Linked DNA regions of Bombyx mori. The protein of the gene in region 2 interacts with the protein of the main gene of each other region in a biochemical or structural test. Links are inferred from orthologs where the notes say so. Each region holds a gene or a part of one and is shown on either strand. Other genes may lie near its edges. The genes, in order: FAS-associated factor 2, ubiquitin-protein ligase E3A and Rad23.

What was found.
Region 1: of the proteins of ubiquitin-protein ligase E3A (region 2) and FAS-associated factor 2, one has a biochemical effect on the other in vitro, tested with the Homo sapiens proteins (2 studies listed by BioGRID). The link is inferred for Bombyx mori from reciprocal best matches to the Homo sapiens genes UBE3A and FAF2.
Region 3: of the proteins of ubiquitin-protein ligase E3A (region 2) and Rad23, one has a biochemical effect on the other in vitro, tested with the Homo sapiens proteins (9 studies listed by BioGRID, with this or other methods). The link is inferred for Bombyx mori from reciprocal best matches to the Homo sapiens genes UBE3A and RAD23A.

Annotation. Positions count from the first base shown.
Region 1 is NC_085109.1:7,642,057-7,645,717, reverse strand, and holds part of FAS-associated factor 2, read right to left. Parts: coding exon 3,659-3,661; intron 2,747-3,658; coding exon 2,572-2,746; intron 1-2,571. UniProt on the Homo sapiens protein: Plays an important role in endoplasmic reticulum-associated degradation (ERAD) that mediates ubiquitin-dependent degradation of misfolded endoplasmic reticulum proteins.
Region 2 is NC_085119.1:5,216,284-5,219,944, reverse strand, and holds part of ubiquitin-protein ligase E3A, read left to right. Parts: coding exon 1-6; intron 7-806; coding exon 807-1,012; intron 1,013-2,150; coding exon 2,151-2,332; intron 2,333-2,747; coding exon 2,748-2,916; intron 2,917-3,324; coding exon 3,325-3,492; intron 3,493-3,661. UniProt on the Homo sapiens protein: E3 ubiquitin-protein ligase which accepts ubiquitin from an E2 ubiquitin-conjugating enzyme in the form of a thioester and transfers it to its substrates.
Region 3 is NC_085116.1:8,907,766-8,910,875, forward strand, and holds Rad23 (nuclear excision repair protein rad23), read right to left. Parts: upstream 1,805-3,110; 5' UTR 1,640-1,804; coding exon 665-1,639; 3' UTR 516-664; downstream 1-515. UniProt on the Homo sapiens protein: Multiubiquitin chain receptor involved in modulation of proteasomal degradation. Binds to 'Lys-48'-linked polyubiquitin chains in a length-dependent manner and with a lower affinity to 'Lys-63'-linked polyubiquitin chains.

The DNA.
Region 1 (3,661 bases), on a different chromosome or scaffold from region 2:
AATTGGGATGAGGCTTTGAGCACGCCTTTTCCTCCAAGTGTTGCCATATCTTGTAATCTAACCACTGAAGTAGGAAACCTATGGAAATGAAACGTCAACAAAAAATTCGTGCCGCTGTGACGTCATCTGGCCACAAAACATGGCGGTTTTAGTGCTGCCCAGAAGATTTTAATGTTAGTAGGTTTTATCGATAAACGTTCTTGGCTCATTTTAATTTAAATATTGTTGAGTGAATGTATTTGTAGAATTTATACTTTAATAGGAAGTAAGTATATTGTTATGTGCAAAGATGATGTGATTTAGATATTATGTAAAATCTAAGACGAGATCGTGCTTCAAATTTGCCAAGTAAACGATATGACGATTTTTAAAATTTGCTACACTGATTTTATAAAGTTGTCGTTTGCCGCAAAACATAAAGATATGGCGTAGTACAGTGCCATCTGCCCATTTCTAGCATGCTGAATGTTATCGTATTTTGAGTACGTGTTTTTCTTAGACTATTACAATCTATTTCAATTGTTTTGCTGACTCTAAAGTCCGTAACACACTACCGCAGCGCACCTCAAGGAAGGTACGCCGCACCATTTGAATCACTCTCACTTGAGAGTGATTCAAATTTTAAACATATCAAGGGACAGCCTGATAAAAAAAAACACCTACAGAACATTTATTCGTTAATAATATTACAAACGCCATTCCTTGTGACTTCCTCTCTAAAATCACTTAATTATTAAATATTTAACGAGTTGACAATAGTGTTATAAAACTATTTTATTAAAATAGTTCCGACGACTTTCTTGAGATCCTATAAAATATGTTTTAATTATTATTTTTTGTATGTTTTAAGCATGATAAAATAAGAAATTTTATATAAGCAATCATATTAAATCGATATCAAAGTCAATAAATACTGTACAACCCAAAACAGACGGCCGAACTGACGTGACAATGACATTTGGCGCGCTAAACATGGCGGATTTTCGGCCTCATTAGACGGAGACGGAGACATTTACGTATATTCATGTTTCATTTTATGTACGCACTGAAATACTGTTATATTGTTTTCCTGCGAGTTAACGTGCTGAGTAAGAACGAGATAGATATATGTTTATGTATGTGCCTTCAAAATGGGTGCTATTTATATAAGCAATTGTACGTATAGAACAATATGTCGTGTCCCTACTATATAGGTCTATGAATCTAACGGATTCAAATCTGGACTGGAGGAGGGCCAGTCTTCGTGCCGGATGAAGTCGATTTCACGCGCCGCCAGCCAGTCTTGTGTGCTCTTCGCTCTATGAGCTGGCGCCGAATCTTGTTGGAATACCCAGTGCCTGTTATTGAACATGGTATGAGAAACAGGTTCCACAAGGTTCGTCAGGACTGTATTTTGATACACAACTGCATTCGTTTTTACACCTTTCTCACAAAAATGTACCTCTGTTAAGCCCCAATAAGAAACTCCCAACCATACCATGAGCGAGGATGGAAAATGACCTCGTTGGACACGCGAAATACGGTTGCTCGGTTCTTCACTACTGTGTGCGTACACCTTATCATTTTGTTTGTTGTAGCTCTCTTCTACGGCAAAAATTTTTTCATCCGAAAAAAGAATTTCCCGATATATTTTTCCCGCGTACCGCTTCAACAAAGCGCGGCATCTCTTCAGGCTCAGGTCCATTAGACGAGCATTCAAACGATGTCCTGTTTTTCTTCGATATGCCCGAAGCCCTTAATCTTCATTTAACACCCTTTTCACCGTGGTTCTGCTTAACCCCATCTGAAGGGCCCACAGTTTCTGCTTACGTTTGGGATTTCTTTGAATTCGCGCCTTCACAGCTTTTATCACTGCTGGAGTCCTAACAGACCGAGGGCGACCACTTCTTGACCTGTCATCTACACTAGAGTCTTCATTATATCGTTTGATGGTACGATAAACGAATCTTTTGGTTATATTCAAATTTTTCAGTATGTTAAAAATTTGAATTGGCGCGTAACCGCAACGATGCAACGCAATAACTGCAACACGGTCTTCTTTAAGCGTCCACTCCATATTTAAAAATGACTAAAATTCTAAAAGTATACATTTTTATTTTCATGAACAATTCGAAATTCGAATTCAATAAACTTTTTTGTGGCCAGCATTCTAAAAGAAAAGTTTTTACTGTGTGACAATACTTATGACCTGACTAGTTACATATATATAAAAATGAATTGCTGTTCGTTAGTCTCGCTAAAACTCGAGAACGGCTGGACCGATTTGGCTAAGTTTGGTCTTGAATTATTCGTGAAAGTCCAGGGAAGGTTTACAAGGTAGATAAATATGAAAATGCTCGGAATTAAATAAAAATAACAATTTTGTTTTTCCTTTGATGTTTCTCCCGTCGGACGGATTCCTTTTGTTTGTTTTAAGTTTATTTGATACAAAAGTTAAGGTCTTTTATTTATCGATTGAGGCACTACGAAGTCTCCCGGGTCAGCTAGTTATATATATATTCATTCATTCTTGTTAATTCGTGAAATAAGAGGGTAGTTGGAATTGATTAAAAAAATGTATTAACTGGCAACCTCTTGTTTCCGGCGTTCCTCTTGCTCCAATTCCTCTAAGTACTGTTGTTGCTGTAACTGTTCTAATTCACGGGCGGCCGCTTTTCGTCTCTCCTTCTCCTGGTCGGCCGCGAGGGATTCGGCGTATGCTTCGTCCTGGGCAGCCCTCAGCCGCGCTGTCACTTCGCGTTCCACTCTGGTAAATATATTTCAAATATAGATAGGTTTGTGCACGAGATTGGAGTTTTATTAATTGGTTTGATTAGTGGACGAGATGATTGGATAGACATTTATAGCGTAAACCCATCTTGAGACATGAGTTGTAAGGTTTCACTTTTAACAGGGCTGCCCCACCCTTCAAACCGAAACGCATCACTGCTTCACGGCAGAAATAGGCAGGGCGGTGGTTCTTACCCATGCAGACTCATAAGAGGTCCTACCACCAGTAAAAGTATTTAAACCGAAGAAAACCTTACCAAGACTTCCTAACACCCGTAATTACGCAAACTATGTATATTTTATTTTTAATGCCTTTGTAGGCGGACGAGCATACGGCCCACCTGATAGTAAGTGGTCACCGTCGCTCATGGACGTCAGCAATGCCAGAGGCCGAGCCAAGCCGTTGCCTACCATAAAATATAATAATTTTATTATAATAAATATAATAACTTTGCGGTTATGGTTTTTATTACACGATGATATTCCTTCACTGTGCAAATCAATCGTGAACATTTGTTAAGTACGTATTTCATTGGAAAAATGGTACTTGTCGGCGGGATTCGAACACCGGTGCATCGTTACATACGAATGCACCGGACGTCTTATCTTTTAGGCCACGACTTCAAAATCATCAACTAAGCACCCCACGAATTGTACCTACTTTTTTTTAAAGTGATAAGCACAGACCAAAACTAATATTGACATATTGTTTTCTTTTAATTCGTCAGCTTGCGCCACTGAAAGCCACATCTGAAACCACATTCGAATTTTTAAATTCATTCTCATCTGTCCGTGCGCAATTGGAATAGCTCTGTAGACTAACAATTATTTTATAAAGAAAAAAAAATCCCTATACAGCCTATACTTGAAGATCGTCATGCCGACTTACCTA
Region 2 (3,661 bases):
GTAGGCGTGAGTATTATTATTTTTTGCATACCGAAAAGTGGTTGAGTGTGGCTTAATCTGTAATAAATAGTATCTGTTTTTTAATTAAAAATAAATTTAGCCGTACAAATATTTTTTTAAATACCAGTATAGTTGTTGAGATGTGCTTAAAAGTTTTAGGGGGTATTAATAGGCATCTCAGTCGCCTTATGATGTACGTGAGTTAATAAATTATTAGTTCGCATTTATTGAACAACAATTTTTAATGCATAAGAGCTCTTTGTGTGCGTGCGTGCGTGTGTTTGTGTGTGTGTGTGTATGTGTGAGAGAGAGAGAGAGAGATCGCTAAGAGCGATCTTTTCCAGGTAACCATCAAAGTGGTGGAAGGTGGAAAAGAATCGCTTGGAAACTAATTACACGCGGTGTACCAATCAATTGAAATATATTTATATACACACATACATACACCTAAGTAATTGTAATTTGTTTTTACCATCGCACCGCCCGCCACCGGAGTAGAGTTCATCCATACTACCTGAAGCCACTGCGGTCATCCACAGTGCGCTTCCAGAGGTCTTTTTTGCCACGTACCATCCGGCTATGGAATGAGCTCCCCTACACGGTGTTTCCCGAGCGCTATGACATGTCCTTCTTCAAACGAGGCTTGTGGAGAGTATTAAGCGGTAGGCAGCGGCTTGGCTCTGCTCTGCCCCTGGCATTGCTGAAGTCCATGGGCGACGGTAACCACTCACCATCAGGTGGGCCGTAAGCCCGTCTGCCTACAAAGTCAATAAAAAAAAAAAATTAATGTGATATGTTTTTTCCAGCCAACACGAGGTTCTCGTTCCTGCGGCACCCGTTCGTGCTGACGGTGGCCAGCAAGTCGCTGGGGCTGTACTACGAGAACCGGCTGCGCATGTACTCGGAGAGCCGCGCCGCGCTGCTGCAGGCCGCCGTGGGCGCCGCGCGGCCCGAGCCCTTCCTGCGCCTGCGCGTGCGCCGCTCGCACCTCATCGAGGACGCGCTCGTCGTGGTGCGTACACACCCACTACACACCCACTGGTGGCACCCTGCCCTGCCTATTCCTGCCGTGAAGCAGTAATGCGTTTCTATTTGAAGAGTGGGACAGCCGTTGTAAGACCTTAGAACTCATATCTCAAGGTGGTTGGCGGCATTTGTAGATGCCTATGGGCTCCGGTAACCACTTAACAACAGGTGGGCTGTGAGCTCGTCCACCTATCTATGCTATAAAAAAATTTGGGTTTTGGTTAAGCCTGTCCTCGAAGCAGCTCACCATGAAAGCACCACAATTCTGCATATGTCTGTCACGGTGCAATTGTGTACTCCAGTCTGAAGGCTCGGAGAGTTGTGACGTGGTGGTACTCTGTGAAATGTGTTTTCTCGTTTGTCTTCTATGTTGTTTAAAGTATACTAGTGGGACCACTAGTCATTGGGTCTTGGGAGCTTTAGTAAAAATTCGACTATAATTAATTGGAATTATAAGTTTGAACAATATTATAGTTCTATTGTCAAATACTATGATATGATATACTTCTATAATCACAGATTTCGTCAAGACTACACTATAGACAAATAATATTAAAGGCAAACAATGTTAACATGTTCTCAATTTAACCACAGACTTTGAGCATTAACAAAAGTTCAACAATAAACCAAGAGTATATGAGTCGACTATTATCAAAGCCGGCAATCTGACTTTTGGACAATGATTGGTAAATCAGAAAAACGAATTATTGACTTTGTATTCCATTGGCAGTCACAAAACTCTTCGGAACGACATCTTAGATAAATAACAGGTTAACTATTAACCTTTATTTAATGCAGGTTTTGAACCGTATTCTTTGAAGGAGACGATTATATTCAAATCAATCTGTATTGACATATCAATAAATTTTTTTTGTCCAAATGCACAGATTGCCACCTTTGATAATAGACGACTCATATATAATATGTATGTATGTGTGTGTCATGCTTTTTTTATTGATTTAATGTATTATTAATGCATAATTAAAAAAAATTGCATTCTACACTCCTTTTCTATATTCTCTAAGTGTGGGAGATTTCATACTCCTCCGTCCACGCCATTTTCGTAAAAATGGGTACAAAGTTTTTGCTTCACGTATTAATATATAGGTGTCATTTGATTTTAGCTGGAAATGATATCAATGGAAAGAGCTCTGGATCTGAAGAAGCAGTTAGTTGTTGAATTCGAAGGGGAACAGGGCGTCGACGAAGGAGGTGTCAGTAAGGAGTTTTTCCAACTAATTGTCGAAGAAATATTCAACCCGGACTATGGCATGTTCACGCACCAACAGGACTCTCGTAATGTATGGTGAGTGTTATATGGGACCATTTACTTGTAAGCCATATTTTCCTAGTATGGATGGTATCAGTTTGAATGTTTATTTGTTCATATAAGGTACACAATTCTACAGCCAACCAACATTCAGTAACTCATTAGATCGGGTTGCCGTATAGAGCTAGTTTACAAGATTGCAGGTTAAATATCTAAATTGTATTTTATTGTATTTTGTCTTCCCGAGCGCTATGACATATCCTTCTTCAAACGAGGCTTGTGGAGAGTACTTAACAGTAGGCAGCAGCGTGGCTCTACCCTTGGCATAGTCGAAGTCCATGGGCGACGGTAACCACTCATCATCAGATGGGCAATTAAAAAAAATTGTATTGTAAGCTAAAGGGATAATAACATAATAAATAAAGATAATAGATAAATTGACAAATTGCAGGTTCAACCCCACATCATTTGAAACGGAAGCACAGTTCACTTTGATTGGTATAGTGCTCGGTCTTGCCATATACAACAATGTTATTCTAGCAGTTAACTTCCCTATGGTTGTGTATAGAAAGCTGTTAGGCAGGAAAGGCTCTTTCGAAGACTTAGTTGATTGGAATCCTGTAAGTATCCTGTATGATTAATGTTATATGGTATAGTAATTAATTTCACCTTTTACTGGTGCCAGGATATATCCTGTCCATGGGTGAATTCATATGTTCAGGTCTGAACTGTAGAATATTTTGAATATAAAATGTTTAAATGTTTAATACTAGATAGGTTGAAAGCTCCCCTGCAATGTTCTCCAAGGTCTATGTAAATCTTGATTGCTAATTTGTTCAAACCCCATTTCTATTAAGCTGTAAGCCTATATACCTTATCATGCTTTGCTGAATTGAGGATAAATGTATGCGGATTCGTGGCAGCTAATTGATGGTACTTTGAAAGTACATGCCACTTCGTTAATAAACAAAACAAAATTACAATATGCATAACAAAAGTTAAGGTTATATTAATATTTTACATTTCAGATTTTATACAACGGCTTAAAAGATATGCTAGAATACACGGGCGATGATCTAGAAGAGGTTTATTATCAGACATTCAGGATATGTTACCAAGACGTGTTCGGAACTAATATGTTTCACGAATTGAAAGTGAACGGAGATAATATTTTTGTTACACAAGAAAACAAAAAGGTAAGACAAGTTTTAGTTTAAGGTTTATATTTATTACACTTTTTTTTAAAAAAATTTATTGACATTGTAGGCATTCGATCATACGGCCCACCTGATGGTGAGTGGTTACCGTCGCCCATGGACTTCAGCAATGCCAGGGGCAGAGCCAAGCCAGTGTCTACCCCAGTTA
Region 3 (3,110 bases), on a different chromosome or scaffold from region 2:
CAGTAGTCTCTAGTATTATTTTTAACACAATAAAAGTAGTATCTGAGTATAATAGACTATAGCTTAGCCTGTATCATAGATAATACACTTAAAAGGCCAGTATTCTTGGTCCTTGGTATATCCTTAAATGACAGTGACCACTCACCATCAGGTGTGTCCTACTTGGCCATCTACAGCAATAAAAAAGGAATGCAAATCTCGACCAAACATTCTATAATATAATGTTTTCATTATTTAAGATTTTAAGCATGACCTATATCTACTTTTTTTGTGAAATATTTGTATTATGTTGTAGTGTTATATATACATTAAACAAAATTTATAATCAAAAAATTAAATTAAACTGCTAAACAGCATCGATTACTTTATGTAAGTATAATGAATACAAGCTGAAAAATAATTATAAATTACAAATGTGGTTGAAAATTTAATCATTTTACTTATTTGATGATTATTTTAAGTAAATTTACTTTGACTGTAAGCAAATAAACATTATTACAAAAATAATAAACCACTGAACAATAAGAAATTTATTAGATATTGAATAATGACAAGCTCTATAAAAGTGTATGAAATACACAGATTGTGTAGATTAAAACAATGAATTTTGCAAAAAAAACAACACTTTTTCCTTTTGCACTTGTCATTCGATTAAGTCAAGAACTTAGTCATCAAAATTCTGAGACAGCAAAAAGTTAGCTGCAAGATTCTCATTTTTTTCACAAGCAAAATAGGCTTGTATCACCATATGTTCAGGAAAACCAAGAGCTTTTAATCTTTCAATAGCTTCTTTATCTTGAGCAGACACTTGAATAACATTCTGTGACCCTAATTGAGGTTGTTGAATATCAGCAACATTCTCATCTGATGCTACTCCCGCAGCAGAAGGGTTCACTGGTTCATTTAACATTCTGACAAAGGCTTCTTGATGTTGGCTGATTACTTGTAATAAAGCTGGATTTGTCTGACCAATCTGCTGTAACACAGCATTTAACAAATTGGGATTCTGTTGTATAACAGCACGCATTTGCTGAAATTGTGGTTGATCTCGCAGGAAGGCTAATGGGTCTTCATCAGAACTTTCTTCAGCTTCTTGTTCATGTAGCAATTCTTCAGGAATACCTGTTATTAAATATTCTACAGCTCTTTCTCTATTATTAAATGAGGCGCGTAATGCTTGTTCAACTTGTGGCCTATCATATCCCATATCCATAATACTTTGGATAGTTGCTTCTAACTCAGCATCACTAGTGGTGTTGGGAGTCTCGGTAACTCGCTCAGTTTCTGCTGTAGTAGGCTTGACTACTTCTTCAGGAGGAACAGTCTTAGGCTTAGCATCACCACTATCAGTAGAAGCACTTTCGCCTGCTTCGGGTATGGAAGTTGATGTAGGCTGGCTCTCGGAGACTTTAGGTTTTGTAACCATAATAACAATGAATTTCTTTTCATCTATGTTGTAAGAATTTATTTTGTTGTCGTCCAGAAGAATTTTTCCCGCATAAATAAGTCTTTGATGGTCGGCGACAAAATCCTTCCCTTTTTCCACTTCAATTTTTAACTTCAATGCTTTCACAGTTTCTTCTGGATCTATTTCAATTTGAAATGTTTGCTGTTGTAAAGTTTTTAGCGTCACCAACATTTTTACACTTTTCTTATTATATTAGATGATTCAGTAAGTTGTGCACAAAATTTATCAACTGAATTCTGACTCGACAGAATTATGCAGTAAACATAACCTCTTCCAAAAGCATAGATTACACTATACCTGGTAATCCTGGTAAGTATGTAATGGATTGTGCACTAATATTGGTACCTACCTACGAGTTCTACTAGGGATGTGAAGATATTTTAAAAGATGATTTATTTGCTATAATTTTTTAGGTAATTTTTTTTAAGCGAGGTACTTTATGTACAACGGAACAAACATCACACACATTTTTGATGAAATTTTGTACAATTTATTAATTAACACAATTTAACAATATTTGTATGATCTCGACGACTTTAATTTACTACATAAGCTCCTGGTTAAATGTCTTAATTTAATATACTCAAGTTTAAATTTTCTTGGCTCGTACGTATTAGTTTATTTGTTTTTTTTAATGTACTTTTAATATCTCTTTTTTACTATTTTAATAGCGGGGAATTTTCTATGGACTTTTTTCAACTTTTCTTATAATTTTTAATGTCAAAAATTTGTTAATTTTATTTTCAATGAACTTTTGATTCCTTAGTGTTATAAACTGTATGTATATTCACTACAAGGGGAAACTTATACCGTTTATTATTTTATTAACGTTTTGTCTGGCCTAGCTATAAATGGTAGATCTTTGATCAACAAGATGAAATGGAGCCACTCGCTAAAACCATCTTGCTTATTTATACCGTAAATTAGTCTTTACCGTCTTTTCGGTCAGCCCATACCGTGCGTTTCGAAGATCAAATATCTAGGCGTCACAGAGGATTCCGTCCCCATATAATAAAGGTAAGCGACCGAGTCGCTTTTTTTTTTAAATCCTACCTAAGCTGATAGCCTTCAGAGGCTATGTCAGCGTAACCTAATAATTAGGTGAGCTCATGGGACTCAAACTTGGCAACGCTGCTTACACTAACACTAGCAAGAGCAGTACGTTGCAGAATCTACTACCGGATCGCAAACAAGACCCACTGAGATTTTTTTTTTTATTGCTTAGATGGGTGGACGAGCTCACAGCCCACCTGGTGTTAAGTGGTTACTGGAGCCCATAGACATCCACAGCGTAAATGCGCCACCCACCTTGAGATATAAGTTCTAAGGTCTCAAGTATAGTTACAACGGCTGCCCCACCCTTCCGGATCCGGCGAGAAACTCAGTGGGCTGTATCGGTGGATTAATTTACTCGCCGAGGCCTTCGTCGCAAGCGACGGGTTCGACGAGAACGGTAACCCATGCTCGAAGTGCCTAAAAGCACCGATAGTGGATCGGGAGGATACGAAATGACGTGTTTTGGGTGACTGCGACTGTTTACCAATTCGTCCGCAGGTTTGGGTATGTAGGTGCCGGCAACCACGACAAGAGGGTTATTGTGTCGCGCCGCTTTTTCGAAATGACGTACTGTTGCGGACTGAAG